2 linked regions of the Ovis aries genome follow. The protein of the gene in region 2 purifies or fractionates together with the protein of the main gene of each other region. This does not show direct contact. Links are inferred from orthologs where the notes say so. Each region holds a gene or a part of one and is shown on either strand. Other genes may lie near its edges.

Region 1 (3,998 bases), on a different chromosome or scaffold from region 2:
TTTCTGAGATTTGCTGAGTAGAATAGATTAGGATAGAAAGTGGATTAATATTCATGTAGATAGGAATATAAACGGGACCAAGAAAGAAGGGATCGATGTGTGGGTGGGTGAGAGGAGGGGTAAAATGATGAATGGATATGTAGATGATGGATGGATGGATGGATAGATAATGTGTGAGTACATGTATGAACAGATATGTGGGTATGGATGGATGGAGGGGAGAATAGTATATAGATGGATGTGGCTTTACAAAGAGATGTGAAAAGATTAATAGATGGATGAGAAGTTGTATGGGAGGGTGGTTGGAAGAAGATGTGGTTGATGGATGGGTAGACAGAATGGCTGGACAGGAGGCTGGGTGCATGTCAGTGCATACCGATGGACAGGAGGGTAAATAGATGTGTGAGCCCTGGAGAGACACAAGATAAAATGGGTAGATAGAGGAACCCGTGGGTGTTTGGGAGGATGAGTGAGAGTGTGAGTAAGCCAAGGAGGAATGGATAGACGGAACCAGGTGCCAGCCTGGGACCGGAAGATGATGTACAGGTCAGTAGAGCCAAATACCAGCCCCGTGGCTGGCTACCATTAGCTTTCCCTGAGCAGTCCTGCTAAGAATCAAAAGTCCACCCGAAGCGTGTTAATGAACTCCCTTCTCTTTCAAGGGAAGGTCGACGAGCTCTTCCTCCCTTCCCTGGAAGAATCGCAAGCTCCCGACCATGCGCAGGGGAAAACCACACTTCCACGGTCCCAGCCCCTCTCCCAGAATATCCAGCTGCCTGTGAAACCCACAGAGAAGAGTTCCCCAGCCTGAGTCAAAAGAGAAACTTCGCGGAGGGGAGAGGCCAGAGGCTGAACCCAAAGGGGCGAGGTTTCAGGACTCAGTTATTCCCTCCTGCGTCCAGAGGCTGCGCTCCCAGCCGCCAGGAGAGAAAAGTCGGTGCGTCCTGGGTGCACGGGGACCCCCTCGGCCCTCCGGGGTGCGCGCCCAGACACCCCGCTTTATTATCTCGGGGGAGAACGGGGCGGGGGCGGAGGGGCCAGGGCTAAGGAGAGCTGGTACGTCTTTAAACTTCTGCGGGCTGCTTAGTCACAGCCCCCTCGCTTGGGTGTGTCCTCCCTCGCTCCCTCCCTCTTAGGTCACTCTCAACCCTCGAATAAAAACTGCACCCAACTTCCGAGGCGCCCTCATTGCCAGCCGGACCCCAGCCTCCGACAGGTTCGGGCGCCCTGCTTGCCCCGTGCTTCGCCGGCCCCCGCCCAGCGCCCGGCCCCTCCGGCTCCACTCCGCTCGCTCGGTCGGTCGCTCCGACGCCATGGACACGTTTTGGTGGCGCGCAGCTTGGGGACTCTGCCTCGTGCAGCTGAGCCTGGCGCAGATCGGTGAGTGCCCGCCCGGACGGGAGGGAGTGGCCCGGACCCAGCCGGGCGGGCTCCGTTGGCCCTGGCGGGGTCGGGGTCAAGTGGGCGGCGAGCGGCTGGGATTTGGCGAAGGAGGACCGGGCGAGGATTTGCGCTAAGCTCTTGGAGAGCCTGTCGTTGGGAAGCACCGTTTTGTGGAACGGCAAAAAGAAAGGGCGCAGAAAAGTTTGCTGGGCAGCAGGCTGTTGGCGCGCGGTTTGGGGTGGGGTGGTTGGAGCCGGTGGAGCACAAGGAACTGTACTCCTGGGTGCGCGCAGCCTGTCTGGACTAACACACTCCTGTGCCCAAGGGCACTTCAAGCCAGGCTGCGCAGGGCAGGGACAGGGGCTGGGGTAGGGACAGGGGTGCTAGCGAGGTGGCCATAGAGGTGGGCACTGTTGCCCTCTGTGAGGGTTGGTGGCAACAAGCTTCCCAGAATGGGGTCCCGCGTTCCTGTGGCTCTCCCATTTCACCTAGGTTCCAAAGCTCTTACAGTTGGCTCCAGTCACGAACAATCTTAACGCTTGTGGGAACTTGAACCTTCTCTGTGGCAAGGTTCTGGGTCGCCACGAGGTGCCAGCCTGGGGCAGGGAGTGTGAGTAGGATAGGCAGTGACTCGGCCAGCTGCTCCATCCTGGCAACCTCCTGCAGGCTGCCAATCAGTTAGGGGAAATCCAGACAGTCATGTGGCTCCCAGTGGGTGCCTGGCAGCCTCGGAGCAGGACAGAGAAGCAGGCTCCTGGGTGGCATCAGGGATCCCGGCGCCTGTATCCCATCCCCACAGGGTCCGTTCTTCTCAGGGGCTGTCGAGGGGGTGGCTGCGTGTGAGGTATTCTGGCAAGGCTGAACTCCAAGCATTCCTTTTCTTTGTCTTTATATGTGCAGATAATTACATGGCTGATTTGCTTATCGCTAGCAAAATTAATTTTTCTTTTAAGAAGTGCCAGCTGGGTCATTAAGACAGCTCAACCTATGGTTAATTCTACTCAGCAAGTGTTTATTAAACCCAGCTCTGGGGGTACCAGGAAAGTAAGAGACACAGTCCTACCGGGGTACTTTAGACTGAGAGGATAAGTGAGGGTCTAGGATTTAGATTCCTGAATCAGAAAAGTAATAATTAATAATAATAATTAACAGTAATCATAATGGCAGCACCAGCCACCATTTATTATACATTTGGGCTGGGCCAGGCACTGTGCTAAATTCTTTACACGCGTTATCTCGTTTTACCCTCAACAATGGCCCACTGAGAAGTGTCCTGTCGTTAGCCCCGTTTTGCAGGAGGGCAGCAAACCGAAGCTCAGAGAGCTTAAGTGACTTGTCTGTGTTCACACAGTCAGAAGACTGCTGGTTCTGTGAACCAAGCTTCTTTGCCTGTTGCTTGGTTAGCACTGGTTAAGCTGCATGTATGATATGGACAAACAGCAGCGTGATATGGACAAACTCAGAAAGGATTTTATGAAGGAGGTGGTGGACCAGAGGCTTTAGAGGAGGCTTTCAAAGGGGAACTGGAGCTCCAGGGATCTCTTGAAAGGCAGAGAGACTTGGGATGGGAGAGAGCAGGGAAAGATTTCAGGGAGAGCTGTGAGCCTGGCCTCAGGGAAGAGGAACCAGGCTGGTGTCTCTCTCTGTCTCTCTCTGTCTCTCTCTGTCTCTCTCTCTCTCTCTCTCTCTCTCTCTCTCTCTCTCTCGCCTATAAGGAAGTCCATTTGTATGTTACCTCCCTGGGGCATCTTCTGCTTTGCTTCTGAGGATTTCGACTCCTGACTCCTTCCATCCTGTAGCGCAAATTCTTCTAAAGGGCCCCATCCCCTGATATTTGGCACTGTCCTGACCCTTGAAGTTCCTCCCTTCCCCCCAGATGGGCAGGCTTACTCCTGCTCTGGGTTTCCGTGGTCCCTTTGGGGAGCGTCATTTGGAGGAAGCGCAAAAAAATGCCAGTAGCGATAGCTGCCTGGGCCCAGGCTTTCATGCACTTGTTAAGCTCTTTGGAAGGAACTGAGACTTGGGAAGGAGATGTGAGTTAACAGTGGGCTCGGGCTGGGCTGGCAGAGAGAGGAAGGACAAAGAGGAGGCGGGAAGACTCTTCTGGTGCCCCACCAGCGAAGGTGGTGGGCTCCAGAGGACAATGTGGACATTTCAGCAAGTGGCAAGGCTTTGGGGAGGAAGAAAGGGTCTGATCTTCATACTGAAAAGCAAGAAGTAGAGACATAGCCAAATACAATTAAGCAGCGTTGGACCCAAACTCTAAGTTGGAGAACAGATCTGTTGAACTACATTTCACACGTGGAAGGACGAAAGTAACCCTGGATAAAGAGCAGTGAAGTGAGCCCTCTATACCTGCCTGCCTCCTGTCCTCTGTGGGTGAGAGGTCCTTGCTAGAGAATTGTGCCCCTGGTGTTTAGAAAGAGGGGTGCAGCTAAGAGCTCTGGGGCTTTGGGGGTGGCTGGCACCCTTCTGATCCCTCTGAGCCTTAGAGACCCCTCTTTCTGGGAGTTAGACTTTTGGCTGTGTTTTCCCAGGAGAAGCAGCAACGAAGCCAACCTCCATTCCCGCTGAGGTTGGTTAGCATCAGTTAATTCAGTTGTTCCCCAGATACA
Region 2 (3,511 bases):
GGGATTTTCCAGGCAAGAGTACTGGAGTGGGTTGCCATTGCCTTCTCTGTTGAGAAATGCCACTAATAATCAAACGTTGGAAGAAGAGTCTAGTGACTGTCAACGGACAGCTAAAATCCGAACAGAGTGGCAGGTGGTAACACTAGAAAATTCATGAACACAACATATACACCCAACACACACACACCATTCCATGAGGGTAAGTGCCTTATACTTCTACATGTTTTTGCTAAGGAAGGATATTTTATAATTCAGAACACCCATTTTAAAATTGGGTTTTCACTTGTAAAAGTCTCTTTTTAGGCACAATCAAGTTACTAATTTACTAACAAGGTGGTTTTGTTTGCCTATTTTAAAAGATTAGCCATCACATCTATTGACCCAATACAAAATAGGCTTGTAATGTTGTATCAGGCATCACTCCAAACCCTTATTCTTTTCTTTATTTTCCAACACAAATCTGGCAAGCAGTTGTAAGCAAGAACACCACCATGTGAGGAGTAGTACCACCATGCAAAAAGTCTCTAGAAATTTTGTCTCCAATAACTTTTGTAGGGACTGTTTTCTTTTTCATATTTATACCTACGATACTCACTTATGCCCACAGCTGTAATGAGCTTGATCGCAAGTTCAGGAATTTCACAGTGAATAAAAAATGGTTCCAGAATATAGCGTCCAAATGCCAGAGATATCACAGCAGTGGCTGCAGGGCTAGAAGAAATGCATATTTAGGTTAACCACAGGAAAAAAAAAAAGTAGCACTTTCACTAACCTTTTCTACCTTGAGGTACTGTTACTCAGCATACGGAACATATTAAATAGAGAAGTCTATGATTTTTCAGAACTCTATATTTGATTCAGTTCAGTCACTCAGCCATGTCTGACTCTTTGTGACCCCACGGACTGCAGCACGCCTGGCTTCCCTGTCCATCACCAACTCCTGGAGCCTCCTCAAACTCATGTCCATCGCATCAGTGATGCCATCCAACCATCTCATACTCTGTTGTCCCCTTCTCCTCCCTCTATCATCCCCTTCTCCTCCCTCTATCAATCTTTCCCAGGTTCTTTACATCAGGTGGCCAAAGAATTGGAGTTTCAGCTTCAGCGCATCCTTCCAATGAATATTCAGGACTGATTTCCTTTAGGATAGATTTGGATCTCCTTGCAGTCCAAAGGACTCTCAAGAGTCTACTCCAACACCACAGTTCAAAAGCATCAATTCTTTCTTTATAGTCCAACTCTCACATCTGTACATGACTACTGGAAAAACCGCAGCTTTGACTTGATGGACCTTTGTTGACAAAGTAATGTCTCAGCTTTTTAATATGCTGCCTAGGTTTGTCATAGCTTTTCTTCCAAGGAGCAAGCATTTTTTAATTTCATGACTGCAGTCACCATCTGCAGTGATTTTGGAGCCCAGAAAAATAAAGTCTGTCACTGTTTCATTTCCCCATCTATTTGCCAAGAAGTGATGGGACTGGATGCCATGATCTTAGTTTTCTGAAGGTTGAGTTTTTAGCCTATATTTGATTAGGTCATCACAGATATTCCAAATGAAATACTGTCTGCAACTTTGGTAGCTAGTTTTTAAACTTCACATCTGCTTAGGAACAAGGCTGAGTGCTGTCAGTTTTTCTTCTTTCCTCCCATATTTAACTTTTTGCTTAAAAATCTAGTTTATTACTTGAGATCCAATAGGGCTGGGCCATACAAGAAGTAGTCTCCTTTCTCAGTAAGTCAACAATTAAACTCCAGCAGAGTAGGGATGAGTTAACAGCACAGTCTAATGGGTTCAGAAAAGGAACACAAAACTCAACTTTAAAAAATTACTATTAATAAATGTTCATTGCAAATATATGCTTACATGCTTGACATTGTATTAGTCTAGATTTTTCCAAACAGAAAAACCTTGAAAAGCCAAATGATTATTCTTAATTCCATAGAAATATTTAGGTGAAAAGTATGTGTTGAGAAACAAAATTAGTCTTGTAATTTTATAAATAGAGAAAACATGAATGAGATAAGAAAATGAAATAAGTTCAGGTATATAGTAAAACAGGTGGCAAATGATTCTATTTTAGCTTTTCAATTTTCTGTTAGAAAATGACACAGGCCTTTCCAGTTTAAATATACTGCATATGAATGCATGTTTGTTAGATACACAGGCAAGTCAATGGAATTATTAAATTTCCCATGCCAAGTCTTCCATTTTAGTTTATCTTCCATCTCATGGTTACTCAACCTCCAGGTCTAACACCTAGATTGTCAGGAAACCAACCACTATTATGTATTCCAACCCTAACCTGCTGGTATTAGAAACCAAGATAGATTTATTTATTTTTAATTGGAGGATAACCGCTTTACAATATTGTATTGGTTTCTGCCATGCATCAATAGGCATACATATGTCCCCTTCTTCTTTTTTTTTTTTTGTCCCCTTCTTCTTGAACCTCCCTCCCAGCTCCCACCCAATCCCAACTCCCCTAGGTTGATACAGAGTACCAGATTTGACCTCCTTGCATCATATAGAAAATTCCCACTGGCTATCTATTTTATCTGTGGTAATGAATATGTTTCAAGGCTACTCTCTCAAATCACCCCACTCTCCTCCTCCCCCATGTCCATAAGTCTGTTCTTTAGGTCTGCATCTCCACTGCTACCCTGCAAATAGATTTATCAGTACCATCTTCCTAGATTCCATTCATATGCGTGAATAGACGATATTTGTTTTTCTCTTTCTGACTTCACTGTGTATAGCAGGCTCTAGGTTCATCCACCTCACTAGCACTGACTCACATGTGTTGTTTTACAGCTGAGCAACGTTCCATCGCATATATGCACCACATCTTCTTTACCCATTCACCTGTCAATGGACCTCTAGGTTGCTTCCATACCCTGGCTATCGTAAACAGTGCTGTGATAAATACTGGGGTGCCTGTGTCTTTTTCAATTATGATATCTTCAGTGTGGATGTGCAGTAGTGAGATTTCTTGATTTTTTTTTCCAAGACAATCTCCTCCTGACCACAACAAGACATTTTTCTAATTATCCATCATTTATAAATTTCTGATGTGTAAATTAAAATCTAATAATGTCATTTTAGTGCTTTCAAAACACAGTCAGAATCCACAAAAATCCTTCAATACAAGGCTCCATCTGGTCAAAACTTTCCCTTCCTCTTCCGTGTGCTTTCTCCCACTAGAAGGATATGGATGCCCTTTGCCTAGAACCCCTGAAACTCACTGACAGTTTCTTATACCTCAGGTCTTAGTTCAATCTTTTTCCCGAGGAAGCTTCTTCAGTCCTCTAATTGCGTTAGATCTCCCAGAGTATTCTCTCTTGTGGAACTTCATAGCCCCCCTTTCACATGTGTATCACAGTAGCAACTTTTCATTCTCTTACACGATGTCTTGATTGATAATTGTTTCCCTCACTTGACCGTGAGCTTCATGAGTATGACTGTGTGCTTATCAATCACTATTTCATCCTCAGTGTGTGGTAAAGCGTCTAG

What was found. Proteins that work in one complex are often made in the same cells at the same time.
Region 1: the proteins of SLC7A11 (region 2) and CD44 purify together in Homo sapiens (affinity purification with western blotting; 3 studies listed by BioGRID and IntAct, with this or other methods). This does not show direct contact. The link is inferred for Ovis aries from reciprocal best matches to the Homo sapiens genes SLC7A11 and CD44.

The regions. Positions count from the first base shown.
Region 1 is NC_056068.1:64,456,596-64,460,593, forward strand, and holds the start of CD44 (CD44 antigen), read left to right. Parts: upstream 1-1,187; 5' UTR 1,188-1,313; coding exon 1,314-1,380; intron 1,381-3,998. UniProt on the Homo sapiens protein: Cell-surface receptor that plays a role in cell-cell interactions, cell adhesion and migration, helping them to sense and respond to changes in the tissue microenvironment.
Region 2 is NC_056070.1:19,478,631-19,482,141, reverse strand, and holds part of SLC7A11 (cystine/glutamate transporter), read right to left. Parts: intron 712-3,511; coding exon 596-711; intron 1-595. UniProt on the Homo sapiens protein: Heterodimer with SLC3A2, that functions as an antiporter by mediating the exchange of extracellular anionic L-cystine and intracellular L-glutamate across the cellular plasma membrane.